Drosophila melanogaster: one gene and its partners. The protein of the gene in region 4 interacts with the protein of the main gene of each other region in a pairwise test. Each region holds a gene or a part of one and is shown on either strand. Other genes may lie near its edges. The genes, in order: abd-A, dsx, Cpr100A and hth.

Region 1 (8,266 bases), 6.2 Mb from region 4:
GTGAGTTTTTTGGGTGGGTTCGCAGGCTTGGCAAAGTGAAAGCCAAACGAAAAGACTTTTCCGAAGGAGGCGAAGCGATTCTTGTGCAATCCACATGCAAGTGCATGGATATAGTGCCAAAACACATGCATATATACTTCGTACGTATGTATATACAGCTTTATGTACAGCATGTGCATTTAAGGAGTGGTGGATAAAGGGGGCTGCGTCGACGTGTCGCGCACTTGGCTGCCATAATGGCGTCATGCTCGTATTTACTTTCATCGCCGCCAGTCGCGTCTCTATGATCTCGTTGACAATTTTATCGCCTTGGCGCTGTGAGCGGGAGATATGCAAAATATTTCATTGTGCGAAATACCGTTTATCTTCCCAACTGGCCGATGCTTCGGGTTTTCTTTTCACCATCAGGTTTTGCCTGCAGAATGTGTGTATCTATTAGCTGGCCGGCCAAATACATAGGTGTGTTAGCCACATATTAATATCTTTCGGGGTATCGACGAACCAGAAACCCACTAAAATAGAGGAATGGATTTTTAATCTGCATAGATTAATAGGAGCGCTGGTTATCGATTTATTGACACCCAAATCTGGTCAAATATGTAAATTATGCTGGCAAAAAAAAAAAGACCGAGAAACTTTTGAACCTCTTTTCTCGATGATTTTAAGTTCTAATGATTTGACAAAATATACCACTTGATAAACATTGGACCCTTAAGCACACTACCTTGTTATCTCGTATTAATGCCATTATTTAAACTCTGTCTGCTAGATCGTCAATTAACAATTACTTATACTGTTTAATTAACATGCCTATGCCGTAAATTCCGCGTAAATCCGTCGCGCGATCTTTTTCTATTACGACGACCGATGTGCAGTCCATAAGTCAGGCCAATTGACAGTCTATTCATATGGTGTCTGCCATTAATCAGGAGGCATTCAACCCGCGGGGCAGAATGGAAAATTGAATTCGTTCAATTTCTTCTTGTGCAGCGTGGAAATCGAGTGGCCTGATGAGAAATGATAAATAAATCTGCTGTGCAAAATGCGCGGAAAAAGCGAGCGGATCGCGTAAATTAAACTGACCCACATAAATTTGAAGCGAGTTCGCCCGTACTACGTTAGCCGCATAAAAAGAGCGGCGGCCAAAAAGTATCTGTATCTGTATCTCTCGACGGATATGTGGATTTTGTATGCGCGGGGCACATCGCAGTGTTTTTTGGTCGGCATTTTGGGCTATACGTTTGTCGGTGTGGGGCAACCTTGAGGCTATTTAAATTACAAATCGACGCCAAATAACACGACAGACAAGAGAAGCATTTCTCAAACTATTTTCATTTTTATTTACTGCCAACTTTTTAGCTCTTCGTTCATTTCGTTTACGGATTCGAATCGCCTGGAAGACTTATGCGAAATAAACGACTTGGAAGTGCTCCGCAAAGTGTTCATTACGAATTGGAATTGTAGGCGAAATGGCGGTGCAAATGGGAATGCTATTGGGGAACGTTTGCGCCACGTTTATCTATTGTTTATAAAAGGTACGCAGCAACCATTCCAAATACTACACTTGGGAAATTTAATTCGATAATTCGACTGGACGCTTTTTGTTAGGTCATACAATTTGTAAATCAGTTCGAACCTGGTTTAAGTCTACGGGTTGTTAAACAACTTAGCTGTTTAAATTTTTTAATTATAGTATTTAACCTAACATAGCGACTAAATAATTCAATCCAATATAAGTTCTTACAATTTTTTATTTGATTTTTTGATTTCAGTGTAAGTGGCCATGATTTATATGTACACAAAAAATTTTAAGAGATCGCTTTGTAGATCTTGAAGGCAATTTATTCTTGATTTAAGACGATATACATTCCCTGAAGTGCACGGATTATTTCTGATTTTATAATGATTGGCATGATATATAGAACACAGTAGATACGATAGACAGACTCTTAATTTAAAAGACTGATTGATTGGCTCAGTGTGATAAACTTGTATTGGGATATGTGTGATTCTCAATTCTAAAAATCGGATAACTTTCAAGATTTATCAAATTTGGCACTCACATTCAGATCCGAAGTCTTTCACAAAGAGTCCGAATCTGGCAGTTATTTTTTTACTTATGTATAATATATCTCCGCACTATCGAGTATCGAGTTTTGACTCACCTGTAAGCGTCATCCAGGGATACCTGGGCAGATCGGCGATACCGGCTCCGCCCGCTCCCCCTGCCCCTGGCATCACGCCGGAGGCGGGCTGTGTGCAGGCATTTCCCAGCGAGTCCACGCCGATCGCGCCGGCACTGGCCGCGGATACCGCGGATGCGGCGGCTGTGGCATGTTGATAGAACTGAGCGAACTGTGCAGATGCCGAGGCAGGTACGCTCATCGACTGGTAGCTGTTCATGACAGTGTCCGTGTACCTGCTGTGGGTGTGGGAGAGAGAAAGTAGCCATTATTGTTGGTGATCCCTGCTCTCATAGTACGTTCCCAACTCCAGCGCCCGTACTAAAGTCAAATGCTAATGAGGTGGCCATTTGCATGCCCCTTTCACCAAACTGCGGTTAGCTCTAATTGCACACTAATCCCGAACACGCCCACGCACAGCAGGGTTCACTGTACATGCACATGGAGTGCCCATACAGTAGTACTAATATGCAAATGGCCGCAGCGGAAGGTCAGCGTGCGTGCGAATCTTGTGGCCGGCGACAAATTGCCAGCGGCCACCACAGGCTGCTCTAATTTTCCGACTTTATGGCCATTCAATATGAATGGCCGGTGGCCGAGAGGAAAATGGACAGAGTCCCAGGATCCGAGACCCGATAATTAGAGCGCATTCGAAACGGATTTGCGGTTTTGCAGTGTTTGCAGATTTTACTGAAGGTCTCGACTGGCATTTCCGCTCGCCAAATTGAGAGCACGCGAAATTAGTTCTTGGAAGAGCTGAGTGTTTCTTTTTTTTTGTATTTTCAACCCCGGAAACATCTTCTTAAAGGTTTTGAAGCCAGGTAAAGCTAATGGTCATACTAAATTTGCATATATTTTAAAATATGATACTGTCTGAGAAGTTCTATCAATGCACTCCAAATATTTGAATATCATATTAGATAGTATAGATCATTTGTCATTGACTTTATATTTGCACTTCCTATTAGGGTCATTTAAGATCATTTTACTACGATTGGACATAAAACCCATCCCGATTTATAAAAATCTGCATTATCCCATACTTAAACAGGGCAATCTATCTTACCTGCACGACTTATCCTCCAGTCCGGTGAAGCCGGCCATTCCGGAGAGCCCTCCATGGCTGCTAGGGTGGTTAGACACGTACGGATACATCTTGCTGGTGGGGATGGCAAACGAGGAGCTAGCCGCAGCGGCGGCGGCGGCTGCAGCAGCAGCGACGGAACTGGCCGCGGATGCGGAGGCGGACGCGGATGCGGACCCGGGAGAGTTGTCGTTGAGGCTGCGGTGTAGCGAGGAGCTACCGGATGCCGAGGGCGATGGGGAGCAGCTGCTGTCGCCCGCTTGAGAATTGCCCGCTGACGGGGGCGTTAGCAACAGTTGCTGGTGGGCGTGTCCGTGCGAGGCAACTGCGGCGGCGGCTAGTTTGCTAATGTGGTGTTGTTGCTGCTGTAGCTGAAGAGCGGCCGAGAGCGAGGAGTATTGGTGGTGGTGTTGCTGCTGCTGGTGGTGCAGATGTTGCTGCTGCTGGTGGTTCAGGTGTTGCTGCTGCACCTGTGGGTGGTGCTGCTGGAAGGGCGACGATGAGGAGACGGGTGAGTGGGGCGATTGGCCCAGATGTTGGCTCAAATGGCTCGGCGATAGGGATCCTCCGCTCAAATTGAGATTACTGTTGTTGTTGCTGCTGCTGCTTGGACTGCTGCTGCTATTGTTGGTGTTGCTTGTGTTGCTTCCAGCGATCGTGTTGCTGCTGTTGTTGTTGCTGCTGCTGCTGGCTGAAACGCTGGCGGATGCAGAGGCGGCGGCGGCGGCTAGGGCGGCGGCAACTGCTGCAGATGACGAATTCGGGGGGGTGGTGGTTAAGTGGTGCGAACTGATAAACGGCTGGAACTGTGGATACTTTGGCAGCATACTATCGAAAACAAATTTTGACATTGCACATATTTTGCTCTCTGGCCGAGGATCGGATCTTCGGAATTTCGTTTAGTCCACTTGTTGTTCTATTTTAGTTTCGGAGATTTCTGAGTTCGAATGATTTGGGTTCTTTATCTGAGTCGTTTGGTTAATGGCTAGATTGAGTATTTCGTTTTATAATTTAAAGTTTCCTCTTTGTGTGACTTTAACAAATTTTGTTTGAATTCAGCGTGGAGAGGAGCGCTTTCTAGCCATAATAAAACAAAAGTTCCGACTACTTCTGTAAGCACAACCTAAATCTTAAACTTGAATGACTTTATAATTCAACACTGTGAGAAATAGCATTTTAAAAATATCTTTTTCTTTAACTTTTTCATAAGATTTACACAGCAATTTAATTTGTATCAATGTCTATTAAAATTTACTTGTCTTTAATGAACATCTCCCGTCTCTGTATTTAACTTTTCTACTTCATAATCGAATGCAAACTACATTGGACTTAGTATATAAATCACTAACAAAATTAATCGAATTAAAAGGTACTAAAAACAAAAATAAACTTGGCGTCCAATGTGATAAACAAGAATTAAAAATGGCAAAACAAAAAATATAACATGTTTATAAAAATTACTCGGAAACCATAAAAAGAACATTAACCAAATTGAATATGTTTGGATTGAACATAAATCTTTCGGGTAGCATGATACAGAACTCAAGTGAAAAAAATATATAATCCAAATGCTTTATATATTTTTCAGCTAGATTTCCCTGCCAGTGCCAACGAGTTAGTATGTGGGTTACTTTTACAGTACTATATGAGATGGCCAACAGTTAGTACTTTTTAGATAGAGTTAGTGAGACAGAATTCGGAAACTTTGCCAGCTGCCCGACTTTAAGCTACTTTTCTCGATTCCGAGAAGTGAAATGCATTTTGTTACCTTTCTCAAGTTTTCTCTAGCGAACTTTTGGCGAGCAGCTTGTATTTGCAGCTTTTCTGTTTCTGTTACTTTTTTCGCTCGAAGCTGGCGAATTCACAACGAAATTTGTTAAATTTGCATATGGTCTCGGGTTGCGTTGTATTTGCAGCTGTGGCACAAGTGTGTGTGTCGCATGTGTGTGTTTGGGGTGTGTGTATCTTTTATTTGTTGTAAAAGCAATTAAAATGCGGTCATCAATTACGCGGAAATTCGAATGGACGTCGTGCCGGCGGGATTTCGTACGTGTGATTTATAGGCGCGCGATCTTTTTTAATGGCACTCTTGTATTTTTATGGCAGAGTGAGTTTCCTGCGGCTTTTAACGACTTCTCAAGTGCGTGAGTGTGTGTGTGGCCGGAGAAATGCTTTCTCCCAACGTTTTGCTTTAATTACTTTGTTTAAAATGTCATAAAACACTTTGCAGGTAGAACTATCGAAGTCTGGAACGGAGAGGCGAGAACCTTTTTACGATGTCAACTTTATGTCTTTTTAATTTTTACGAACCGCACACAGTGAGTTATAAACCATAGTGTTTTGACAGTTTTTTCGGTTTTAAATTTCACACACAATTTTATTATATTTTACGCGATCTATAACATTTAAGTGACAATAAGCCGGCGGCCGAAACGGAACAATAAACACGGCGAATCGGAAACTGAATCGTATTGCCGCACTACAGTCGTATAGTCGTATAATCGTATAATCCGAATCGGAATCGGAGGGCCGAAATTCCAAAGAGTGGAGAGCTGAGTTCCGCAGACACTACTGCGCGCCACGATAATAAATATTATAATAAAACGAAATTTTTAAAAGAGTATAAAAATTTCGTGTAATTGGTAATTCTTGCTGCCAGCGCGGGCAGCGGCGTCGACAGAAACGGCGGCAGAGCGGCAGCGACTGAGGCGCTTTGAGTCGTTGGAGACTTTGAGTTTTGTCTGTCTACGGAGGGGGTTTTCCTTTATATTTTTTGTTTTCTATTTTTTTTTTTTTGGGGAGACCGCTTTACGCGCGAGAAGAGAAGCGAAAGCAAAGCCGCTGCGAAACGTCGAGCGTTGTGGCGTTACGAGCAGCGAAACGTTTATGGCGCAATACAAAAGCCATGCGAGCGTTCTTATGGGCAACTGGATGCTGAGTTTGTGACAATTCATTTTGGCTCACTCCCTGACTCAACGTCGACTGCAGCAGCGGCGGCAATAAGAAAGATGGCAGCGCAGCCAGTTCATATGTCTGTCCCGCTTTTGCTCGCAGGCACTCAGGCCGAGCACCGCCGCTGTTCTCTCTCTCTTTCCCGCTCTCTCGCATGATGGCCGCCTCGCTGCTTTGAGTGAGTAATTTCCCGATTTGAGTGCCTCTCCTAATTTCACTCTTTATAACGTGAGAATGGAAACTATTGGAGCCCCGCTTTGAGTGCTATGCTTTTTAAGTGTTTTATGCTTTGTTTGGCAAAATGTTATTGTTGATTAAATTACCGTGCATTATTCATTTTGAGTGCGCTGCCTTTGAGTGAGCGTGTTTCAATACAAATTAGACAAAATTTATATTTGACTTTTTTTGTGGAATCACCCTCTTGTGGTGTTTCAAAAAAAAAAACCCTTAAATTTCTACAGATAAAAATGCCGACTCGGCAAAAAGACAGCACTGCCTCTTCTTTTTTCGGCCACCGCCTTTTGTGCGCCTTTATTTTCTCTCTTTTCTGTTGTCACTGGAATTGCTGTTATGACATTTTTATGAAAAATTTCAAATTTATGGTTGAAATTGGACAACACACAAGCATTTTACTCATGCCTCTTCTACTATTGCTCTCATCCTCCTTCGTAGCGCAAATGTGTGCGGAAATAAAGTGAATCTGCAATTTCTTAACTTTTCTACTTAGAGAACTTTGCTATCTGACATTTCGAAGGATTTTACACAGAGAGTTAAAAAACGAAAAGAGGCATTGTGAGTGGAATTCAATTTTTTAAGTCTTACCAAATATTCCAATACATTTTTTGTTGGTCATTAGGTAAGGAATGTAATTATAAAGTTAGGATTCAAATAAAAAATTTTTTAGCATAGGCTAGACTTGATAAGTGAAATTAGGACATCAGGTTTCATTTATGAAGCGAACGTTCTTTCTAAATATAGTTATGTTAAAAAAATCAGTAGAAACAATGTTATAGTTTTTCTATATTTATTTTTGTATTTTTTATTTAAATCATACCACATCACAACATTTTCTTATCCTTCAATTAAATAATTTTTAGCCATTTAACACTCATAAATTAACCTTAATAAACAATTTCTAAAGCATAACAAATTTATTTAAATTATTTCTTATTCATAAATCTACCAGTTAATGTGCTTCCTACCTGTCTATTTGTTGGAATACGACTCGTGCTCAAATTGGATTGCCAACTCTTTGGCTATAACAATTGAATAATTGATCCATCAGCGGATTGGCTAAACAATCAATTTTTGGCACACTGGCTTCTTAATTCTTTAATGACCAAAGGTGTATTACGGTCAAGGGGGAGAAGCAGTAACGGCGTTAATGGCCAGAGAGCGCTTTAAAATTAATTGCTCATAAATTCTAAATTAAGCATTTTGCCACACTTTGGTTTCTGCTTATGGGTCATACAGCGAGTGCGAATGAGTGGATTTACTCATGCACTGAAAATATAACTGGTAATTTTATTTTGTATAACCTTTGATGATGCAAAATTCGTATTATTGTAACGAAATAGTATTGAATTAAACTATTTTTATGACATATTACTAATTTATACATGATGGAACATTTTAAGTAACTAAATTTAACTAAATAAATTCAAAATGGTTTTTAAATAAATTAAAAAGTTCTTTAGGTTAATTCAACTTGTTATAGAAGCCCGAAAAATGGTTTATTGCTGTGATGTATTTGTAATTGAATATTATGTCTAGCCGTCCAATATTTTAAAAGAGAAGGGTTATTATTTTTCAAGTGTACTGCTGCCCAGGTACTCAGCCACTCACAGCGGGCCGTGATTTACTGCCCTTGCCCCGGGGTTATGGGATGTGGACTATAAGCGGTGGGCCCGTGGCAGGTGGGCCGCCCAACGACCGGAAAAATGTAAAACGCCCATTTTGATAATCAAAACAAATAATAAAACAACTTCACACGTTAGTCTGACACAACTACTGGTGCAAGCAACACAACAACAGCAATAACCAGCGA
Region 2 (8,010 bases), 2.6 Mb from region 4:
GCGAGTTTGGACGGATGCTTGAGTAACGCTGGGCTTCCAATTTTATTTATTTTATTTATTTTTTTAGTATTACGTTTTCTTCATATTTTAAAAGAAACTATTTATTTCTTGAATTTGTTGGATTTCTTGAAGTTGGATTTATTTAATTCATTGGTCTAAAATAGCTTTAACAAGGGACCAAGGAAGTAACAAATCGTATTATGGTCTCTTCAAATTACCAAAGGAACCATTCATTACTTGAATTTAGGATTTATTCTATGTTACCAGTTTTCAAAAATCGTCGTCTTTTAAGTTTAACGTGGATCGAAAAGAGTTTTTCTCCTGAACTCCCAAGACTGTAACTGTGAAACACATGAAAACATAAGTAAAAGTTCAGAAAATATCTTTTTATATGTAGGAGGCTTCAATATTTGTGAATAAAGCCCTATGATTTGGCTCCACTGTGCAGCGTCGACGTTGCGTGCATTTGGAGAAATGTGGGGGCTGCACACCAATACACCATACACCATACTGGCACATGCAGCAAACACACACACACTCGCGCAGACAAACGGACGGACTAGTACATAGGCAGCCTCACACACATTGGCTGGCGTTGTTGTTGTCGATTCGTTGGTGTCGCTGCTTTCCCTGCACTTGTGAATGTTGGAGTGTGTTGTGATGCCGGTTGCAGTCGCCTTGCAACTTGTTTGTGTTCGAGTTGCAGTGCGCTCGACGTAGTCTTAGTTTCGCCTTCCGCCTCTTAATTGCTTTTTTGCATTTCTGCTTGCCCGCTTTGCGCTGCGAATTTTATTGCATTTGTTTTGCTTAGTTTTTCGTTCTAAAGGGCGTGTGAGTGATGTGGATATTTGTGGACGGTACTCCGGTATAATGGTCTTCTAGAGGCTTGTGCAACTACCTAACAAAGGAGCTCCAATCATTTATATACAGTCAGTCAGTCGATAACCACTACATACGAGGAAATGGTTTCAAGTGGGCTATTGGAAATGGGTTTTAGAGGTATGGCATTGAAATATAGTATATGTATATACTTCTTATCTAACTAGGTTGGAAATAAAAGTGCAATTCGTGGCATTTCTATTACTCTTTTAACTTATGTATGTGCGTAAATATATTATATACATATATACATATGATATATAACAATTTTAGAAAGATATTAAAATATAATAACAATTAATGGAAAAGAGGAATTCTAAAAAACATTTTTTTTAATTTAATGGGTTTACTCAAACTTAAAGAACCAAAATATTGTTACCTGCTTAAATAAGTTAAGCCTATAAATATGTTGATACTCGTAAATCGATAAATGGCCCTCTAAAGCACAAAAATAAAAAAAGCTTTACATCAATCAATTACATATCAATAATAAAAAAACCAAATAATATAAGTAATATAAGTAAAAAGTATACATGGGAAGAATGTGGTTAATATTTCTATATTATATAGATAGGGAATATAAGATTCTTCTACACTTCTTGTCCACTTTCTCCACACCTGCTGGCGTGTTTGATTCGTGTTTAATCTAATTTGCACTTAGTTTGACATTATGGTGACTCATTGAACTTGCCTATGCACACAGATTCACACTCAAAATGTTTGACGATTGATTAGAACCTAATGAACGAAAGATAGGGAGAAATATATGTGACATAGACGAAAGCCAGTATCGATGAGAATTTTAATCTATTAGCTAGGTGACATGTAGTGTGAGCGTTTGTCTGTCTCAATTTTCGTTTGCTGTAATGACTTAATTTCGGAGTCTAAAGAGTTAATACCCTGTATTTAAATGGAGGGTAAATTGAGCATGAACGATGTGCTGATAACGGGTCTCACATTCGTGCTAGCACCAGATACCCGCCCCCTTCTTCCACCGCCTCCCGCTGGCCACGGCAAAATGTTGTTATTTTGCCTGTGTGTTTAAAAACTGCACAAGATTGCTTATCTTGCATGTCGCCTCTAATTTGTATGAGCTGAGAGACCCGCAGAGAAATAATTCCTCCGAAGAGCCACTTTAAGAGAAAGACCCTGCTGGCTATCAGTTTTCAATATTTGTGTTTGGTGGAAATAATGACAAATATAAGCAGGGAAACAGTGGTCAAAGTTGCCAAAGGAAAAGCGGATTAAATTGATTACGGGCGAGCATAAAAAATGTGCAGCTTGCGCATGTATGCTCAATTAATTTGTCTAAAGCGGAAGAGATCACGATAAGAACCCACTTCAGGTTATTAATGGGCCAAGGACAGCTCGGCGTTATAAATGGCAAAAGCACCTTAAGTCGATTATATGATAATTGCAAGTGGGGTGCAGCTTAAAAAGTTGAGTACAGATCATTATAACTGTGCACTAAGAAAAATGCATTTACAGGTATTTTATATTTGTATATATTCTTGGGAAAATGTACCAAGCTCAGATTTATATTATACTAAAATATTCGTCTTGCTAATATGGTTTAATAACTTACTTAATATAAATCTATGAGTAAAAAGTCTGCATGTTTGCTGAGGAGTCAAACGGCATGCTAGGTTCTTATACCTTTTTTTTTAAGACTACAGACAGGTGTACTCGATCTTGCCATTTGCGTCATCCGTCTTCATGAAAGTCGAGATTTCGTGAGTGAAAGCAAGCTGCAGTTTCTACTAATGATCTCTTACGCCCACTAAAATATGAGTTTTAACTTAGCAAGGCTAACTATGTTATTTCGACTACAAATGACAAGAATAATAGCCAAAAGAAATGAATAATTATCCCCAAGATAACACAAAATATTAAAGGTAAACTGTCCTTTCGCGCTATACACAATGAGCATTGGCAAAAATTTAAGTTCTAATTTACATATATTTTTTATAATTGCAGCACTCGTGAATAATCGATGGTAAGCTTTAAAATTAACAAGAAACGCCTTCGCTTCAACTTTAATTTGAATAAAAATATTCAGCACGTGTTTATCGTTTTAAGCCAGTTGGTTTCCGTATTTGTCATTTGCATTTTCCTCATAACCACTTAGACCTTGGTCCAATTTGCCTTATATGTATGCAGTCATCTAGGATAGCCGATCGCAAACGACAATGGCAATGGCCTACGCTATCCCAATCTTAGAAACTAATGCGGGAGTCTCATAGTGTGGCTGTAAAACGCGACCTGTTGCTCGTTTCCTGTTTAATTTGGAAGTCAGACAATAGCCTGAACCCCTGGCTCCCCCCCATTCAGCAGTCATACCGCCAGTTGTAGATGGCAATCGCTGAGCGTACCTGCTGCTATCGCCATTAAGCCTTGTACACACGAGCATTTATGTCAGGCAATTACAAGGCAGTTTGCAACGCCCCCAAATGCCGGGCAAAAAGGTGGCAAAACGGAGCGGAGTGGTGGCACATTTTGGCCGCAGAGCGCTCGTAACTCATCGTTCACTTACCAGGTACAATGCCAATTGCATGCACTCGCTAGAGTATCTCCAGGTCCACTACTAGACCACTAGCAGTATATGTATCTGTATCTGCATCTGCGATCTGCCTCCGCGAGGTGTGCTTTGCTCTTGGTTATGCAAGCAAAGTGAGAGAATATAGCACTAGCACTCGGCGAACTCGATGAGATACGGGGAGTCCGATCGGCTGGGTACGAGACGGTCAGGAGTGCTTCGTGGACCGAGAGTGAGAGTGTGAAGCCGGTAAAAATTTATTTCTTTTATTTGTTATCTTAAACCGTACAAGCTGTAGCCGCAAACGACTTTGTTTAGCATGGCACTCGCGGCTCGATCTGGTTCCCTGTAGGTCAACGCATTTTAGAGATATTTTCGGACCTCGCACAGCAACTAAAAACTATCGCACAGAATTTTGTACCGAATCCGCTCCAGTTCTTTTCACTTCAGCTTGAGATTGTGATTTCGAGCACGGAACGCGGACGGCGCGAGACGCCAACGCGACATGCACGACCTGCAAAGGACGATCGATGCCAGCAAACTGGTTGCGGCCACAAAGCTAAAGCTCCCCGTGCACGATACTAACACTCGGACCAGTACCAGTCCGACTAGCAGACCAAAAGACAGCGGACAGATACACGGACATTCAGGCGGACGGGCGGACCTAAAACTGAGCATGTGTTTCTGGCACAGAGACGGGCCCACCGACTGGCGACGCAACGCTCTTGCTATTTGTATTTGCACTCTGGTTGCTGCACCGCGAAAAAAGAAACGAGTGCGAGCATCCAACCTGCTCGACTGCTGGATGCACTGCACATCAACTGGGAGAAAGCAAATTGGTTTGGTACCAGATATGGATACCCTTATTTGACCGTTTTCATTGTAAACCCTTAACTATGCTCTTTTCCATAAGTAAACCATGCTAAAAATAACATAATTTAAACACAATTCTTACAATATGAACTATGAACTATAAAAAAGTATTGCAAACTATTAAATCGTATGTAATATGAGCTAAATTCGCCGCGAAAAATATAGGTTCCGCACTGCGGATACTTAATTCTCCTTACCTGCGTTGCATACTTTTAAGGGCTAATTTCCGCTAATATCAGCCAAATAAAATGTATTTTAAAAAATTATGTATTTGAACGGAAAATGTTTTAAAATATTCATTACTTCTGTGTTGCTATTTAATATGTGAAATACGAAAAACGGTCAATTATTTTAAATACTAAGTAAATAGTTTTTAAACAGAAACATTTATACGATAGAAGGGCATTTCTTTCATCGGTTCCCACGATTTTTAGCAAACTCATAAGCTCGAAGCAACGTTGGTATGTGAAGAACTCAAACGAAAGCATCTTGGGCAACAGAGAGTTACGGAGAGAAACGGGTCTGCGAGAGTGTAAAGTGCATTTGCCCCATTAATGGGGAGCATAAAACATCGAAGACGTGCTCTTCCTCTCTGAGCGATTCTCTCTTGAAGTTCGCGTGTTTTTTTGCGAATCTCTGCGAGAAGCTCGAGTGGAGCAACTTTGTTGCCGTACATTGACGTCTCCCGCCTGCATGTGCCGATCGTAAATTTGCACTCTGGTCGCTCTCTCTCTCTCTTCCGTTCTCTTTCCGCGTGGCGCGAGAAGAAGAAGCGCCAGATATGGGGAGCATCGAATCGGGTTTGGGCGTCTAGCCGACGATATAGGTCGAACCACTCAGCTGGGTTTCGGCCTGCGCCGCGTATTTATGCCACCTTTAGACGCAGCGATTTGCGTGTGTCGCACTCGCATTTATCACATTGAAAGGTCCCCTTTCATCGTCAGCCGTTATATTAGTCAGGATCGTTTATACAGTACGGCGGAGATAATTTTGCCGAAGCTCGGCTCCATTAAAAGATACTTCCCTCAGGCGATGCACGCAACTCCCAAAAAGGTAACCAAAAATGGTCGAGAGTTCGATTTTTGGGCAGTGAATCGATTTCGAAAGGGCCTTCGGTACTTCAGTAGTTTCCCATTGGTGACCAAATTGTAGGGGAATGAATGGCTCAGCGATCAGAAAACATTAAGATAATACTCATTAATTAACCGTTTTTGATTCTCGTTTAGTGTTTCAGAGACAAAAGTTATTAATTTAATATTTAAATAAATGAAGTGATAAAGTGACTTAAATTTAATGAATTTATGTAATTATTTTGACTTGCTCATACAAAAATTGAATTTAAAGAAAATTACTTACTTATTATATTAACTATCAATATCATCGAGGTAATGTGAAAACTTAATATAATTGCATACTAGGGTACTACAACATATTATTTAAAAAATGTTTACGAAAGTGAGAGCGGAAGGCTTTGTCATTGATTTGCATGAAACTGTATATATTGCATAGGCAAGGGGATACATTTTTCATCCAAATCCGATTTACATCTTCACCAATTGATCCCGTGCCGATTGTAGAACGATAAAATTCACATAGCTTTAAAGGCGCATTTCTTGCACCATTTCTTGTACCTTGGATCGCACAAATTTTAGCCCTTTTTATGGCGGAGTGTCGAAAGAGCTTGGCTGGGGGCATCTGCATTTGCAATCTCATAAATCAATTAGCAAAGAGCGGCGCGGGAAGAGTATCTCGCGGATACGCATCCGAATCGAAACTCGTTTGGCCGAGTGCGCTCTCAAAAAACGCCAACAAACTTGGGGCAGAACGGCAAACAACAAACACTCGGGCGGTCAGAAAAAATGCAAATTGCTAAGGAAATATTTATTTATGATCTGCTCTCTTGCTCCCAGTTCCACTCTCTGCATCTGACAGATACTCTTTTTTCCTTGTAGGACCTTTGCGACCCCCGCATCGATCATCAGCGTTCAGTGTGTTTTATTTTTAACAACTCCACACTCACCACAACCGACGCATCGGTGGCAATTGCAAACATTTATACAAATTGACGTTTAGCTGTCGCAGTTGTCACCTCGAAAGCCGCACCAAAGATACACGACACAGCGACGACATCGGGGAATGCTGCCAAGTGCTGGGCGCAGAATTCTCCGGATGACCCGGCAGCCAGATAAAGGTAATCCAAGTTGCCAACCGCAGTCTGCCTCCGCAGACACCTCACCCCGCTGCCTACCATTGCAATCGCAATTCCCCGCGAGCGACTCGTGTTCGTGTTTTATAATTGTTATGGCCATTCTACAAGTTGTTGTACATTGTTAGCGACTCGGAAGGAGGTCTTTCGGCTTAGTTTGCGGTAGTGGGTAGATAAGTACACTGAGAAAAATTGCATCTACTTTGAATGTATTACTTTAGGTCGAAAGTGGCGGAAGAAGTTATTACCATAGAATATTTTTAGAATTTTATAACCAAACTTTCCTTGAATTACCATATTTTTTAATGAATCATGCTTTTGAAAAAGAGTAATAGCAATTTGTATTCAAATGAAAAATAAGGAATATTTCATTTTAGTTTATAAATCATATTTACCAGAGATATCACAATTTTTGCGTACAACCATAAAAATCCTCACTATATCGCCAATTTTTTCTCCTGTTTAACTGGGTAGCCAGTCGAGTTGCTTAGGCATGCGAATCGTACACAAGTCTGGCGCCCAGATCGCAAATGTATATCAACCGCTGTCAGTTTGCATTTCCACCGAACGGATCGGGTGAATATGTACACGAAGTCAAAACTGCTTCCGTGAAATTGTTAAAGTTGCTATTCAAGATTAATGGGGAAATTTTCGGAGTTCATGTAAAACAATTTTGATTACACCACACTTAACTAAACAAGTGGATGGTTAAATTCCACAGAAAAGAGCACTTGTGCAGCCCTAATCGGATTTTCAAATAATGTTTTCAAGCTATCCTTGTTATAGTTAATTATTTTGTTTAAATACACAGCAGTAAGTAAATTGTTTTAACTTACGAAACATCTCAATTAAAATGCATTTCAAAATTTTAAATTGCGGTCTTAAAGATTTGTGTGTTTATCAGTTTTGGGCCGGCGTCGGGAAAGGCTCGCCATCCTCGTCCTCATCGCTTGCTTTTTGATCTCACTTCTTTGGGCTTTTAACCTGGCTAATTTTCAGCTCCCCCCTCTCGTTCGATTGGTGGGAAATTTGAGATGTTTTTGAAGCCGAGCAAATTGGTAGCTTAATGACAAATGGGGTGCCAAAAAACGTGTTTTATGTTCATAACCAAGATACGCAGAGTTATTTAAAGCAGTCAGGCACAAGATTCCGTCAGGCACACCAAAAGGAGGAGCAAGAACGGAGCAGTCCTCGACAGCGATGGCAATCTGCATATAGAACACAACCAAAGGACAAACCTTTTAACCGACCAGCGGGCGGAATCCGTGCGGGGAGAGGGTCCGATGTTCCAGGAAGGGGTTAAGGGGTCTCGAGCCGAGAGTAATTTACGCTTGCATGCAAATTGAAAAACAGTCGAGAGCAGGCACTGGACATTGGGGGATCCTGGGGTGGGATAAGTTCCGGACTGGACCGAGCAGAGCTGATTGAGCGCCGGGATGATGCATTTTAAAACAAATTGGCACAGTTTGTGAGAGGTGGCCAGTTGCTGTCGGTCTGGGTCTGGGCTTGGGTCTGG
Region 3 (7,465 bases), about 20 Mb from region 4:
GGACCCGCTAGTTACTTCCGTGCCGATCTGCAAACAAATGAGAGCAAGCACCGGCCACTGAGCAAAAAGTATCCCAAGAAGAGCCACTACAGACCCTACGGATCGGTAAGTTGGCCTAACAAATAAGATATCAAATAATAGGAAAGATCTAAAAGCCCGAAATAATACAATATTCCCCTAAAATATAGCAAGAGGAAGAGGACGAACAACGCTACAATTCCGCGGAATATTCAGGAGAGTCCTCCGTTCAGGATAGTCGGGAATACACGATTGGCACCCAAATTCGCGTCCAGCATCCCATAACCGTGCCCAAGAAGTCCAGTTCCGGCTACCAGAAGCAGCCAAAATATGTGACGGCCATTCCATACAAGGCATCTGGTTATGGATCCGATATCCACAAGCCCTCCGGTTATGGATCCGATGTTCATATTGGATCTGGAGAGGATGTTGGACCTCCTCCGAAAAGATCGAAGTGGACCCCAGTGCAATACGAATCGGAAGCCGATCCCTTCCATCTAGTGCCACCTCCAAAGGCAACCGTCGCCTCCAGCAGCAACTCATATAGTGTTTATGAGCCCGAACACGATGACTACGAGGTGGTTCCAGTGCCCCGACCAAAAAGCCACGATCGCTACAAAAGCGTCGCCTCCAAGAAACAAGTAGAGGCCTACCTAGAGGATCAGCAGAAGCTGCTCGACGAGGCCATCAAAGTTCAGCTTTTGAACAATCCGAAGCTGCAAAAATTCTTCAAGGCCCAGGCGCAGGAACAGGAGCGGGAATCGCGGCCAGACCTCGAAATCGAGGATTTTGAGGCCTATCCGCCCAACTTTTCGGGGCCCGGACACCTGCGCAACAAGTACATCGAACACCCACCATCTTCTCCGCCGAAGGGATCTCGATCACGCCGGCGTCCTCCAAGTGGAGATCTTAACCGACCACCCAAGACCATCATCAAACCGAAAAGGAAATACCGATCCACAGCACTGGTCATCAATGTGTGAGAGGGATTACTAAGTCCTGACTTAATCGTTAATTAAAATATCGTTTATAAATACTTAGAGTAGTCTTGTTGTACAGAGTATTTTTAAGTAATAAAAGACCATTTATTTTAAATGCCCCTATTTAAATGACTTTATCTTGGAAGTTTGGTGTTGATATGAAAGAAAATTATGGATATATTTTGATGCATTTAATTTATAATTTACGAATTTTAACATACGAGTTATTTGGCGCTTAGGAGCAGTTAAGCATAAATAGTTGTATATTTTATAAAGTGTTTTAATATACTTTTCTGTTGTATCTATCAAGAGAACGGTGGCGGTCTCTATCGGTTTTTGAAAGAAGTATAGAGTCTCGGTTCTTGTCTCAGCTAAATGTATGGTGTCCCGGCTTTTCTACCATTTCATGAGGAGAATTCGTCACCAAAGTGAATCCGATAAGGAGTGTTGCTGGCTTATTTGCTTAAAAAAAAAAAGATTATATCACTTAACTCAATTGCAAATAACCTTTCAATTTAATGATGTTTTCAAGTTTATAATACGCCACTTTAATTAAATATATTAATTACTCATCAATTTAATTGGATTCTGTATTCGTCACACCCACATCGCCATAATTGGAGTGAGTTCCACATTTCACGACAAATTCTGGCGACGTTTACCTTTTTAAAAATAAACGCAGTCAATCATAAACGTGTGTTGTTCATAAAAATAGACGTATTAAGAACACTTTGGAAGCAACACACCCATGAGACACCTGTTTCGATCCCAGGCAAATTCTCGACTCTTACCTCTTTCGCAAATCCGAACGAAAATCCGCAATTGAGCAAGCCAATTCAATCGATTGCGATTGCCGCAAAAGTGGGTGCACAAAGGCACGCGGAGAAGAAATCATAAAAAGCAATAAGTAGCAAAAAACAAAACCGAATTGATTTTCTTAATTGACTAAACAGTTTCAACAGAAGCCAGACCCCAAAGCCAGGCAAAGCAAAAATCCAAACTCCAAGCCGGACCCTCGAGTCCACAACAAATCTGACCTTGAAAGCTAAGCTCTGAAAAGTGTTGCTAATATTGTTAATGTAATCGTTGTCGGTGGTGAAAAGGAATGCCAACCAATGGATGTGGAAAGTACAGAGGGAAAAATGCTAAAAATAAAGACAACAATAAAATGCTAGCACTAAAAATATTTAAAAAATAAGTAAAAATGGAATCATGAATAAAATATAGTCAAATTAGAATAGATTTTGAGAGATATTGAATGAAATCAATTATTTCAGCATGCCCTGAATTAATTTATTATTTCCGAAGTAAATATATAGGTATAAGTGCAATTAAATAATAGAATAGCAATCGGTGCTCGAATTAAGTTGTAAACTATAACACACATATGCTGAGAACTCAGCAGGTGAGAGGAAATAGCAAATTAGCTGGCGGCATTCTTGCGTTCGATGGTGCATAAAATATGCAAAACATTTGGATGTTATTAAGTTGCACTAACGCAACTGGAGCCTGACGGATCGCAATACCATTGGGAATTGATTTAGAGCCCCAATCCCCTAATGAACCAGTGCCACCCCCACTTGCACATGGTTTTCCGGCTTAGCCAGCACCAGCACACCAGGCTGATTTCATTTTCATCGGAATTTTGCACAATTGGCCAAGATTACTGTCAAATGAGCGAAACCCGTTTGAGGTCTTTCCTTGTTGGCCGCATAGAATCGTAACAGAAACTCGAAACTTGTTTTGCACGTACGAAAGTCGGTTGTGTAATGCCGCATTTAGTGGGCGTTCACCACCCGAGGTGTTTAGATAAATCTGCTGGAAATTAAATAAGCGGCCACTGGCCGAAAAACAAAAGACTGCAGGACACGAACTTGGTTTCCTTCATATATTGTTTTTACTCGATTATAGTACAAATTGCTCAGACGTCCCAAGGCCCAAATTAACATAGTTTCTAAATTAATTTTGATCATTTTTCAACATCATCGAAGTTTATTGACTTCTCTTTTCTTGGGAAGACTTAAATGGAAAGATTAAAGTTTAATGGGAAAGTCACAGAGAAAAAGGCCGACATTTCTTGAGTTTTTTCATATTTCAAAAATATGCAAATGATATTTTGAATATATTTTGTAATTTAAATCAGCAATACCCATTGGGCAGCAGCGATTAATTTTCTCTGTGTAGGATTATAAATTAATAACAAACAGTACGCATATAGGAAGTACGATACAATTGCTCTTAAACATATCACACGAGAGTTTGATGGAGTCAAGAAAAGAGTAGGGGTTCTAGTTGTGATAGGGAAAGTTGGAAAAGAAGAAAGAGGATCCCTACTAATGAAGAAGATGCATAATGTCTGAGTGGAGGACAGTGGGGCTTATACCTTGTTGAAGGAGTAGGTGAAGCCATCGGGCGTGCGGTTCAGGGACAGTTTGCCGGGTGGCGAAAAGCGGTGTGGGTTGGGGGTGGTGGTGGTGTAGTACGCCTGCTGGGGTTGCGGCTGCTGATACTGGGGTTGGGGCTGCTGATACTGAGGCTGGTACTGCTGCTGCGGCTGCACGGGCTGTGGGTTGTAGGCGGGCTGGGGAGCAGGACGGTACTGCGGCTGGGCAGCGGGCTGCTGGTAGCTCTGCTGGTTCTGTCCGAAAGAGGGATCGTTGTAGCGGGGATCGTAGGAACCATCATCTCCGTAGTCATTGCTGCGGAAACTGGCCTGCGGCTGGGGAGCGGGAGCCTGGTACTGCTGCGGCTGGTACTGCTGCTGTGGCTGATATCCCGCTGTGGGCACGGGCTGTGGTGGAGCAGGTGGTGCCTGGGGCAAGTGATCTCCAGAAGCTTGGAAACTATTTCGGAATAAAAACCAAATTAATACAAGTTCGGGTATTTGTTCTATAGAAAGTGCTTACCCATTTTTGCCAGCTGTGTACGAAATAGTACGCCTCTGGCCCGTGGGATCCAGATAGCTGTAGCTGCCATGACGTGTTCCATCCGCATCCGTCTCCTCCTTGAAGTTGATGCCATCCTCCTGCTCATAGGCAGCTCCGAACTTTCCATCTCCGGACAGATAACGCTGCTCACTGATGATGGCCGCCGTTTTGGGATCCTGGTGATAGTGCTGGCTGGAAGCCAGGGCCACCAAGGTGGTCAGTGCAAGCTGTCAAGAATTCAAAATTTATTGTACAATCAAGTATTTGTGTGCTGCCAATTCCTTAATCTGAGTCATTATCACTTAACGTATTATAAGGTAAGACTTTCACTATTTAATGTGTACTCTAGAATATCCTGGTTTGAATTGACACTTTTGTCCGTCAGTTTGATTACTTTTCTCTTAATAGCTTTTAAATTGTTCGAACAGCCTTGAATAAAACACAACTCACAAATCTGAACATTTTGGTGTGGGGAATATCCTTGTCAAGCGTAAACTGCACACAATTTTATCTTCTTCTCGAGGGGGATTCACACGCGCCTTTACGCTTACAAGTCGGTTAAGAGGGAAATGGGACCGACGGCAACGGATTTGTGGAGTTAACTGCCTTCCGCAACGGTGCCGCCCAAGCTTTTTATAGTCCGAGCGGGAACCTTGGATCGCTGGATCGCCGATCGACTCCGCCTAGGCACTCCAAGCTATGTAATTGTGTTGGTACTATTAACGTTAACGGCAACAACAAGTCGGCCAAGTCGGCGTAACAATAACAAGAATCGAGCTAAGTGCTCCAATAAGTCAACTTTGGGCGAGTATTGGTATCGCGGTCGTGTTGCCAAGTCGTTTTACCAGTTTCGATCTCTTTCGCTTGGAGCGCCAACTTTTGCTTTCTATATATACGAATATATGCTATATGCACTTAGTTCCACCGTTTCTGCCTGCACCAGGCCCAAGCCCAAGACGAAAATATTTTTTAATTATTTCAAAAGTTTTTCAGCTGTAATCCAGCCTCAGCGCAGAGGTATCCTCATCTGGGAGGGGATCTATCGAAACCAGGAATTACCAATTAGTTCTGCAGAGCATGATGCAATTTTAATGGCAATAGTTTAGTTTAAGAGTAGGAAAAAAGGAAAATGTATGGAAAATACAAATAAAACGGGATATAAAATAGATTGAATAATAGTATTGTATGCCAATAATGTTGGCCTAAGCTAAAAAACAGAAATAGAAAGTAACTACAACACCCTGTGGAAGAAATTGGCAAAAGCCTCGTCTTTATTGTCTTTTTGATTTTTCCAGTGTGAAAAGCCCGTGGAAACTGTCGATTGTGATGGATAACTGGGCGGTCGCCCTCTGCTGAAAATCCGAACATATCTTGGGAAATTCGCCAAATGAGCGTTGTTAACTTTTCACTCCCCTCTTCAAGTTGTAAAGTTGTAAAGCCGTTTGTTTGCCTTTTAGCTGGATTTGCGTTCTGCATGTGCATGGCCAAGTTGATTTATATCTAGATCGGACTGAAAAGCTGGACTTTGTGGTGTGGCCAAAAGCGCTTGGCAACAATCGCCAGTGTTACCGCAATGTGTTTGACTTGTTGACTCTGCGCTGGCTTCAATTATTTATTGTGTTTGAAATGTCTGGCATTGTTTGGGCTTGTTTATGGCCAAAGCAGTTGGCCGCCCACCCACATGCCACACGCCCACTCCCACGCCCCCCACTTTGCGTAATGTTTGCAGAGAACTTTTGGCATTATTTATGATCTAACAATGCAAACAGGTCTGCATCTCCAACTTTGGTTATTTGAAGTTTTATATCTAGAGTCAAATTAACATTACATTATCTATATCGATATTCATTTTAATTTTAAAGAATTTTTCTTAAGCCCTAAAATTGAACGTAAAGAGAATTAGAGCATTTATGTATGCAAATCGGGTTTTCATATTTTAATGAGCGATTTCCACACAGCGGCACACTCTTGCACACAAAGTAGCCGCATGGGGTCGAAGATTTCGAGTAGCAACACTCTCATTTACACCGTTATTTGCCCTTTTGCAAGTCGCCATCGTCTGAACATCGCCATCATCATTACCATCGTCATTATCCGGCGGTCTTGTTTGTGTGGCCAAAAGCGGAGAACGCCCTCTCGCAGCAGGAGGCGGTGATCAGAGCAGAAAGCGGTAAAAGGAGGAGGAAATTAAATCAGTTGACAAACAACAACAGGAAACTGCAGCTATGGCATATAGTTCCGGAATATATACTTGATGTGCGAACGCCATGGCAAGGAGGCGATGGCAAGAGCAGCGGATCCAAGGTGAGGCCGAGCAGTTGAGCATGGCCGGATTAGCTTGAGGGTGTGCCCATCGGAGGGTTGAAACGGTCTAGCTACAGTGATCACTCGGAAACTAGAAATTCTAGAATTTCCTCTACTTAAAATATCTATAGAAATGGAACTACAGTTATATCTAAAATATTTAAAGATCCTTTTCTCTTTATTCCTATAGCATTATCTATATTTCCAACTTTATTATTAATTAATTCAAAATATTTCATCTAGTTAAGTAACTAAATCCGTCATGCTCGAGCGGCCACTGTACTCCCGAAGCGTCCTTCTTCGCTGGCCTCTCTGCTGCTGCCTTTTTGATTTCCATTTCGATTTTGAGGCGTTTGCCTGATGCGACGATACTGCCACCCAGAATTTCGAGGGAGGGAGTGGCACCAGGAGGTTGATTTTTGTTGTTATTTCTGTTGTGATTCCGCCGTCATCTCCAGCAGTCAGAAAGAGATGGCTGACGGGCCCATTCAGCGTTTTATTTGTCAGGCTTTCACTTTGGCCGAGTTAATCACAATCGGCGAACAGATAATGAGGGTTGAGCCCTCAGGGAGGGGATGCATCATGCAAAGCAGAGCGTTTTCCTCATCCTCATCCACGTCCGTCCTGTCGTAATTCCGCGTTGTCTCTCAATTATTTCAGCTGCTATTCCGAGCCCAGGAGCCTGGGTCAGAGCTGCAGACCAGGAAACTAGGAACTACCACCCGAACAAAGCGAAAACGAGCAGGCCGATATATGTTCAGACAATTGCGATTATTTGTAATTCAAGATGCAGTCGAGCGTTTTCTGAAATCGAGCGAGTCAACTCCGCGCGGAAGGTTAACAAAAATTTAATGCTAAACGCTTATCGGTTCCATCATCACCATCTACATCTCCATCTCCATTTCCATCAGAAGTCAAAACCAAACTCGCCAAACTCGTCGGGAAATTCGATCCATTTATTCCTGGTGGAAAAGAGAGCGAGCAAGGAGAAGGCCAGGAGTTTGAGATGGGGAGATGGTGATTTGATAGCTGATTCACGGATGACCCTGCACACTCGTCAAAAGTCAGTCAGACAACTCTAGGTACACTGCGAAAAATGCGTATATTCCTTGAAATAAATATTGCACTATGATTAGGTAAAGTTAACATGGATTTTTCAAAAATAACAAAACTTTTTTAAATTTTTATGTGAGCTCGAAAGGAATTAATATTAATTGCCAGTGCATATGATTTCTA
Region 4 (8,253 bases):
CGGCTATTTAATTAAATTGCTGAAGACAAGGACTTGGCCAAGTTTGCTAACAAAATTTCTGGCCCAAAGAAACAAAAGTCTTTTGGAGTTTGGCATTTTTGCCGGGGCCAAAAGTTACTCAAAAATACGAAAATAAATTGCGTGCTGATGGCTCATTTAATTTAATGAGCGGCGTGCAACTTGTCTAAATGATTTTTCCTCTACTTTACAACACATTTTTTCTTCACATTTTTGTCTGTACACTTTTTCCGTTTCAGTCCCTCGTTTTTTTTTCTTTTCTTTTTATAAAGATGGAGAAAAGAGTTCACCACCAGCAAAAATAGTAATTCCACTTTATTCGATGAATATTAGCAAAACACTTTGACTTAATGTTTGGGGAAATTACGGCAAACGAAAAACGGGCAGCGATATTTAAAAAACTTTTAAGCGTAAATGCAAAAAGAAATGAAACTAATGAAAACACTTTCAACGGCAGCCAGCGACCTCGTCAAACTTGGCAACTATGTGTGTGCTGTAGTAAGCCAGAGAGGCCGGGAAAAAATAAGTAAAATAATAATACTACTCTATAGGCTATAACAACAAAGGCAACAACTATATAGCACCAGCAGGCACCGACCCAAGAATCAGGCACGCAATTTGATCATTAAACATGAAGCTCTTTAGCACACGAAAAACAACATCGGTGGAAAGTGGGAGAAGTGGAGGCCCCATATAGAGTCTTATGACCCCCTCCCCCTGCGCACCCCTTGCAGAAATATGCATATGTAATTTGTTTATAAATATTCCTCTCAGCCTGACGCTTCCTATTCGCTCAATTTTCGCTGGCATGTGAAGCGTCTGCCGAGCGGATTCTCAACCGAAAGCCAAGATATATCTGAAATCTCCTGATAAACGGGGGGTCGTGGCAAAGGGGGTAAGTGGGGAGCCCATGAGTCATGCGGTGAGGCTGGGAAGACTGGAGAATTGCTCACTTAATTAGAAAAGAATTCGCGACGAAGGTTGGTCGCTGGCAAAGATTAAACTATTGCAATATGATAAGGACTAGGCGGGAAAAAATATTACTATACTTTGCTGACGAATGTTATTTTGTAACATAGGGAATTTCAAATTCAATTTATTGTTATTAATGGAATGAGTTCAGCAGTTGGTATATTTGAAAGTACACATTTCAGCGGACCATTGTTATATACTGATAATATATACATATATAACTAGAATTTTTTTCCTGGCTCAACAAAAAAAATGTTTTAGTTTGCCACCTAAGTCGAATTCCGAATGTTTCCATCAACTTTTGCAAATGCTGCTGGCCACTAAAGTAAACCACAGAATCGACTGTGGCATTTTCCGCTGCTCCGCTCTCCTTGATCTTTTCTATTTTGATTTTGATTTTATTTCTAAAGCGAACGAGAAATACAAAAAATAGCTGAACAAACACAGTGGGAGAGGCGAGCACACGATAGACGAATTATATTTTATGCCACAAATTACGCTGCGGTTAACCTTTAAATTAAAATAACACCAAAACAATTTTTGTGCTGCATTTCGCAGGCGTTTGAAATGGCACACGAACTGAAAAATGGTGGGAAAAGTGAGGGGGCGCGGGGGAGAATGGCAGCAGCTGCAATGCACATTTTTATACAAATTGCAATTGCACATTTTTTTTTTTTGCACATTTTACACGGCCGCTCTTTCTCACTGTTTCTCTCGTTTGCTCTCCGTTTCGATGGCATAAAATAATCAAATTAAATATATATAAAAATGCATGTGCAGTTTGGTTTGAGAAGAACCCGCGAAAATTGCTTCCCGCCATTTTTCGCAAATTATAGCAGCGCAAAGTCATGGAAAATGGTAAAAATAAAATTGTAAATAATAAAACCACGAAGCGGCATAAACTGAATGGATCGCTTTTGGGCCGCTGGCAATGTGCAAAATGTGCAATAAAATTATATGCATCAAATGCACACAAACAGACAGAACACCCGTATATATTCACATACTCGTACATACATACATATATCTCTCGCCCCGAGTCGAAAAATTCATTTGATGGAATTGAAATGGCGCGATTCGGGTAAAGAGCCGCAGGAGAATTACGAAAAAGGGGATTCAAAGAGGTAAATTCGGCACAGAATCGGGTATTAAACCACAGGCGTAAATTTATTCGCCAGTAACGCAGACACACACAAAATTCCCGCGGGCATTTCTTTTTTCCCATCTCCATTTCCATTTCCATATCCATTTTTATTTTTTATATTTCTTTCTGATTTTTTTAATGCTCCCAAAGAGCATGGCCCACCTTTTGGTAACACACACACACACACACACGCTAATTGGTAGCACACACACAGGCAAACGGCCATGTTTGAGGTCTTTTTGCTCCGTTAAATAAAAATCAAGTTCACTTCGCATGTCCATGATAATCAATTGATAAAGTCTAACTGCGATTTGGTAATAATATTTTTTTGAAGAGCGGGCGAGCGGAGACTGCCGGTCACCTGATTAGCATATAATTTACGATCCAGATGGATTGTAAAAATTATTACTCCGTTTAAAAAGCGAGGCGAGAATTTATGCCTTATAAACGTGATGGAAAATGGTGGAATCATTGTGGCTATGCAACGGGGGGGCTTTTCGGAGGTGAAGGTCCCAGCCATGTTTAAACAAAAATCGAATCAACTATTGCGGTGTGAAAATGAAAAGTTAAGGGGAAAAGCTAACAATTTTCAATAAACATTATTTAATGATTTTCTAGAGTAAACCGTTGTTTAATGTAATACAATATCTATCACTATTTCGGCGATCTTTGATTTCCATCACTTCCCAAATAAAATGGTCTAGCTGCAGACTCAGTTAATTATATAAACTTGTACCAGAAAATGACCCGCATAAATCAAATGTGATTTCTGTCCTATTCCAATACACATAAGCACACACACACACACACACTCAGAAACGCTTAGTTAAAATTCATTTTGATAGGGCTCTAATAAACAAGAACTATTCCCCATTGAATTGATTGTAATGGGTTAAATTGGAGAAGCTTGGAGGCCATGTATAAGAAATATTTATATAGATCTACTTCATGAAGTTGGATTAACTAATATCTGAAGATTTTTAAAACTTTTTGCGTATTCTGGTTATAGATTGATTTGGTTACACTGGTAACATATCCATGATATGAAAACTGTTACAATATCATCATAAACTACAACCTGTAAGTGCCGTCGGCACCACTTGACTTGATTACAAATTGACTGAACCCCATTTGTTTTTTAGCCGTCGGAACTTGTTTAAGGATAACAACACTCTCGGGGGACCATTCTATATGGATTCTATATATTTAGAAAGTGAACTTTGGTGGATCTACTTACCCTGGGCTGAGCCATTAATGCTCTGGGAGCGACGTCTAACCCGATTTGTGCCACTTTTTACAGTAGGAACAACAAATGGGGGCGCAACACACTGACCGACGTCCCGCTCCGCCGCTGCAACTGCTTCGGTTTTAGGGAAGCTCTACTGTAGCTGCCCGTGTGGAGTCCTTAGATTTACTCTTGGCTTTTCCAGTTCTTCAGTTTTGGATGTTATTTTCTTGGATTTTTATATATGTTTTGCACTTTTTTCATGTATTGGGAAGCCTTTGCTTTTTGAACGCTTTGCTTCTTGATTTTGCTTTCTTTTTTTTTAACACAGGCACATTTGTTTAGATTTTATGTATTATTATTACGTTTGTATACTTGTTGTATTGTTGATGTTGTCGTTTTTGTTACGCGCGCGTTTGTTGTTTGTTTTCTAGAGCGGGAGATCTGGTTTTGAATGTTTTTTTTACTTGTGTGTTTGTTATAATAATTATTTACATAGCATTTGTTTGGTTTATAAAAATCGTATACAATTTGTTGTTGGTTGCCGTTGCAGTTGTTGTTGTTGATGTTCTTGGTATACTCGTGTATTGTAGTAGTTGCTGCAACATCATTTGTTACTGGGTTGCATTTGTTGTTGTCATAAATCCATGGCGTTTTTTCCCTTTTCCTCTCTCTCTCGTTTTGCGAGTTTCCTTGCCTTTTCCTTGGTTATTTTTATAGTAGTAGTTGTGGTTGCTTTTAATTTTTATTTGTTTGTCGTATACTCTTTTTGCTTTTTTCGTATAATATGCGCACTATTTATCACAGCTGCTTCTACATACTACGTTACTAGAGATGAACAAATTATATTGTTAATATATAATGCAATATATTCTGTTGTGTTTTTGCGACGGCAATTTGCGTGTTTCTTTGTTTTTGCGGGGGGATCGGCGGGATCCCCTCGTTGAAAGAAATTCCCTCCGCGGCCCTCAAATAACAGTATTTATTTTGGCCTTCAATTGTGAAAAGGAGAACTTTTCGATTGTGATTGAAAAACACACTAAAAAACGTGATTGTTTTGTTCGCGCGATGGAAAAACGCGCGCGATTTCCAAAGTGTTTCTTGTGTTGTTTATTTGTTGATTGATGGCAAAACGCGTGGTTAACGGGCAATAATAATAATCATAATAATAATAAACTTCACCGACGGCAACACTTTTTCGCTTTTCTTCTCTTTTTTATTCGAACGCAACGCAACACAGACACACGTCGTACGCGCTTCGCAGTCAAAAATACACTGTGCGGATGAAAGATATTTCATCGAAAAACCAACCCGCCAGATACGTTTGAATTTACGCTACAGTCGGACGTGTTTCCACTCCTAACATCGCTGTTAACTAACAGCGAAGAGAGCGCTGAGCGACAAACAACAGCAAAGTCAACGGGTGCAAGCGGTGCGGCATGATTGTCAATCATGCAGCTGCCCCGCTCTGTTCAGATGCAACAATTGTGCCATTAACTCGCTCTTGGCCATAACTCAGCGAGTGCAAGCGAGAGGAATATATGGTTTATGCGAACGCTCCGGCGAATTGCCTGCGCAGGCGCGCTCGCATCCTGGGCGACGATGACTGATTTGTTGGTACGCCTCTTCTGTCATACACACACTTGTCATTCACATGCATATACAGTACCGTACAGCGGTGTTCTATCTCTTTCTCTTTCTCAGTTTTCGCCTCTTTTTGCGCAATGTTCGCCGCGTTTGAAATTTATTTGGCTTTGGCCAAAAGGAGACGGCTTATGGGTTTTTCGCCCCTCTGCCGGCGTCGGCGTCGAAAATCAGCAAAAACCAATCCCATTTGTTATTTTCGCTTGAGTGAGTGGCAGTTGGCAGCTTGGCTCTTTTTCGCCGCACCTTTACAGGTTGAAAGGCAGCGAGAAAGCTTCAGTTGTCCATCAGCTTCAGCTTTCGCTCACTTTTCGCTCTCTTTTGGCGCCCCCACACACACTCGCACACACACACTTTTGCCCGAATAGGCAACGCCTTCGAAGAAAAGCGGCAAAAAAGAGAAGAAACTTGAAGGAGAAGAAGAAGAAACGTGGACGACAAAAACAAACTTTTCGCTGCAGTTCCTTTATTGCGTCCTTTTGGCTTGTAACGGTGATCTGGCCACTTTGGAAGGATATGCGATCCTGACAACAACAAACAGCTGTTCGAGTTTCTCCTCTCTCTCTCTTTCTTACTTCTTGGGGAACAACAACAAATGGAACGGCGATAAATTGTCAAAAACATTCGCTGAAAATTGCATATTTTGCAGGTCATTCTGCGCTCCTGTTTGGCGAATCTACTCTCATTTGGTTTTTTATATACCCTGTACAAATGGTGTTACATCTCAAACCAAAAATAAAAAATTGAGGAAACGGGCTTTTGCATTATTTGAACAAGTTTTTTGATGACAAGTATGTTTGGGCAATTTTCAGTCAATTGTGATATCTTCGGCGTGATTGTACAAATTTTTTTTTACATTTTAAACTAAAATAAATTAGTCCAATTTGTTTTACCAATAACTACAGGGTAACAAGGTATGCCAATCTTCGTATTCAGTCCGAAATCCTGTCTATTGTTGCTGTTATTGTTACTGTCGTGTCGTCGTCCTCGTGGCAGTTTAAAAAGCAGTTAACACATATTCCCAGGCCATTTTTCACCAGCGTATTTTTGGCTTGGCGCTGCAGTTGCCATTACGCCGAAAGAGACGGGGATACTGGCGAGCGAGAGAGACGGGGCGATTTGGCCGGCGTTTTTAGGAAAATGAAAAATAGCCTTGTTTGTTTTCCGACGCTCGCCAAAAGGATTTCCCGTGTCTGTTTTCGCTGGTCAAAAAGATGATGTTGCACTTAATCTGGTTGCCATTTCATCCCGAAATCCCAAACCCCCAAAATCTTGGGAACTATGTATGATATAGGTGCTCTGTTTCTGCGTCTTGTCAACACTTTGACAAATTTATGAGACTTTGATTGATTTGCGGTTGCTTTTTCCCTTTTTTCGTTTCGGGACTCGCTTTCTTTTGGCTTTTTCAGACGTCCAACTTTTGTGCGTCTGCTCGGGCCAAAAGCCAAGTAATTTATGTGAAACAAAAATCACATAAAATCGAATCAATTAAGTGCAATAAATTAGTGAAACGCTTAAGTGTGGGAACTTTTCAGACTTATCGGTGACCAAGTTAAATTCGAATAGATCGATCGACGCGGTAGCAAAGTTCAAGGATCCCAACGAAATGTTAGACAAATGAAGTTTATTTGTTTAAGAAAACTCGAGGTTTTCTGAGAAGCGCTAATTGAGGAATAGAATATACTTAGTTCGTAGAATAATACTGAGTGAAAAAATGTTTTCAGATGAAATTTAATAAGAACAGATAACTTAAATTTCGAAGAATGCAAATAAAGCGGACAGCTCCAGAAAAGCTCAAGAATTTTTGCAAATGAAGCAGGAATTTAATTTAATATTTAGAACTTTGCCAAATTGAAGGGACCATGAAATTTAAATCACCGAAAAAGGAAAATAATCAAGAAGCGAGAAGAGCGAACGGTGGGGGGGGGGGTGTACAAAAGGAGGGGCAGGAAGCGAATTTAGGGGGCTGGGCCTCCACCCAGTGAGCGAAAAAAAAATGAAAGAAGAAAGCCGAAAAGGAACCGACTCGGGAAAACCTCAAGGAAAATTGCATTTGGAAACTTCCAATCCCAGACGAGCGAAAGAGAGGGCAGAGAGGGAAAGCTTACCCATACACGTGCACTCACACCAATTGGGGGGCCAGCCAATATGATTTAAACACTCACGCACGCACACACACAGGCACACACTTGCGAACACCTACAGTGATGTTAACGCCGGCAGTGCAGTCGGCGTCGCCGTCGACGCCGGCAGAGAAGTGTGTGTTGTGTGCATGACAATTCATCTCTTTCTTATAAACGCAATTTATCAAACGCAAACGACGAGCGACAGCAAAAGATGAAGACGACGACACGATATCAACTTGATGTGGCGCCATCTCGCTTGCTCCCGCTCACTCACTCAAGCAAGAACCGAAACAGAAAGCCAAAAACAAAAAAATGGCACATGAAGAAAAATAGGAGTTGCCGTCGGCGCTCTTCTTCTTCTTCGCCGTCGCTGCGAAATACGAAAAAAAAACATCGAACACACAGAAACAGCAACAAAGTGACTGAAACCGCCATAATCTTGACAGACAAGTGCACGCGCTCTTTTCGCCGCGCTTTTAATGGTTTGTTTTTGTCTGAATTCGCCGAACAGCGCGGGAGAGAGCGCCGAGCGAGATGGCATGCGTTGCAGTTGCGTTGGAGCGAGAGGCCCTAAGTGTTTTATGGCAACGCGTTTTACAGCTGTTTCACAGTTGTGCAGCCATTGCAAGACTAGGCATGTAACATGATTTGAGAGTCATTGGAGTTTAAGGATCTTCAGTATTTAGAGTTGTATGTTCACTGTTTTTATTTATAAGGTATATAGTCGTTCAAATCGTGATTTATTCATATAATTTGTAGGATGTAATCGTTTTAATATTGTTTGACTGTTCCTTTAGTCTGTATACTTATGTTATTGCATATATTTATTTATTCAGGTTTTATTGTTATATTTTTAGTTTTTTGCACCGATATTTTTTAATTTAATACATAAAAAACTGATTTCTGTTAAGAAGCGCGCGAATTTTGATTCCGATTACCGCCTACAATTCATTTATCCTAAGCCAAAAATTATACAATTCATATAAAATCAGAGGTCCTGTCAAAAGGAGCTGTATTTTTAACACGGAATTTACCAGTTTACCTGCATAGTTACCTGTTTTGGCAGTTACTTGATCTTCCATGAATCTTCCTTTTGCCTACTAATTTTTTTGTGACTTTCAACG

Evidence for each region.
Region 1: the proteins of hth (region 4) and abd-A interact in a protein complementation assay, tested with the Drosophila melanogaster proteins (one study listed by BioGRID).
Region 2: the proteins of hth (region 4) and dsx interact in a protein complementation assay, tested with the Drosophila melanogaster proteins (one study listed by BioGRID).
Region 3: the proteins of hth (region 4) and Cpr100A interact in a two-hybrid assay, tested with the Drosophila melanogaster proteins (2 studies listed by BioGRID).

What each region holds. Positions count from the first base shown.
Region 1 is NT_033777.3:16,823,886-16,832,151, forward strand, and holds the start of abd-A (abdominal A), read right to left. Parts: upstream 4,221-8,266; 5' UTR 4,119-4,220; coding exon 3,250-4,118; intron 2,423-3,249; coding exon 2,166-2,422; intron 1-2,165. Other genes in the region: MSAmiP (MSA micropeptide), read right to left, coding at 7,626-7,688. UniProt on the Drosophila melanogaster protein: Sequence-specific transcription factor which is part of a developmental regulatory system that provides cells with specific positional identities on the anterior-posterior axis. Required for segmental identity of the second through eighth abdominal segments.
Region 2 is NT_033777.3:7,963,051-7,971,060, forward strand, and holds the start of dsx (doublesex), read right to left. Parts: upstream 4,359-8,010; 5' UTR 3,413-4,358; intron 1-3,412. UniProt on the Drosophila melanogaster protein: Controls somatic sexual differentiation. Binds directly and specifically to the FBE (fat body enhancer) of the yolk protein 1 and 2 genes (Yp1 and Yp2).
Region 3 is NT_033777.3:30,864,594-30,872,058, reverse strand, and holds Cpr100A (cuticular protein 100A), read right to left. Parts: upstream 4,539-7,465; 5' UTR 4,388-4,538; coding exon 4,376-4,387; intron 4,153-4,375; coding exon 3,905-4,152; intron 3,842-3,904; coding exon 3,376-3,841; 3' UTR 2,875-3,375; downstream 1-2,874. Other genes in the region: CG15545 (uncharacterized protein), read left to right, coding at 1-105, 189-1,001.
Region 4 is NT_033777.3:10,609,614-10,617,866, forward strand, and holds the start of hth (homothorax), read right to left. Parts: upstream 4,664-8,253; 5' UTR 3,387-4,663; coding exon 3,372-3,386; intron 1-3,371. UniProt on the Drosophila melanogaster protein: All isoforms are required for patterning of the embryonic cuticle. Acts with exd to delimit the eye field and prevent inappropriate eye development.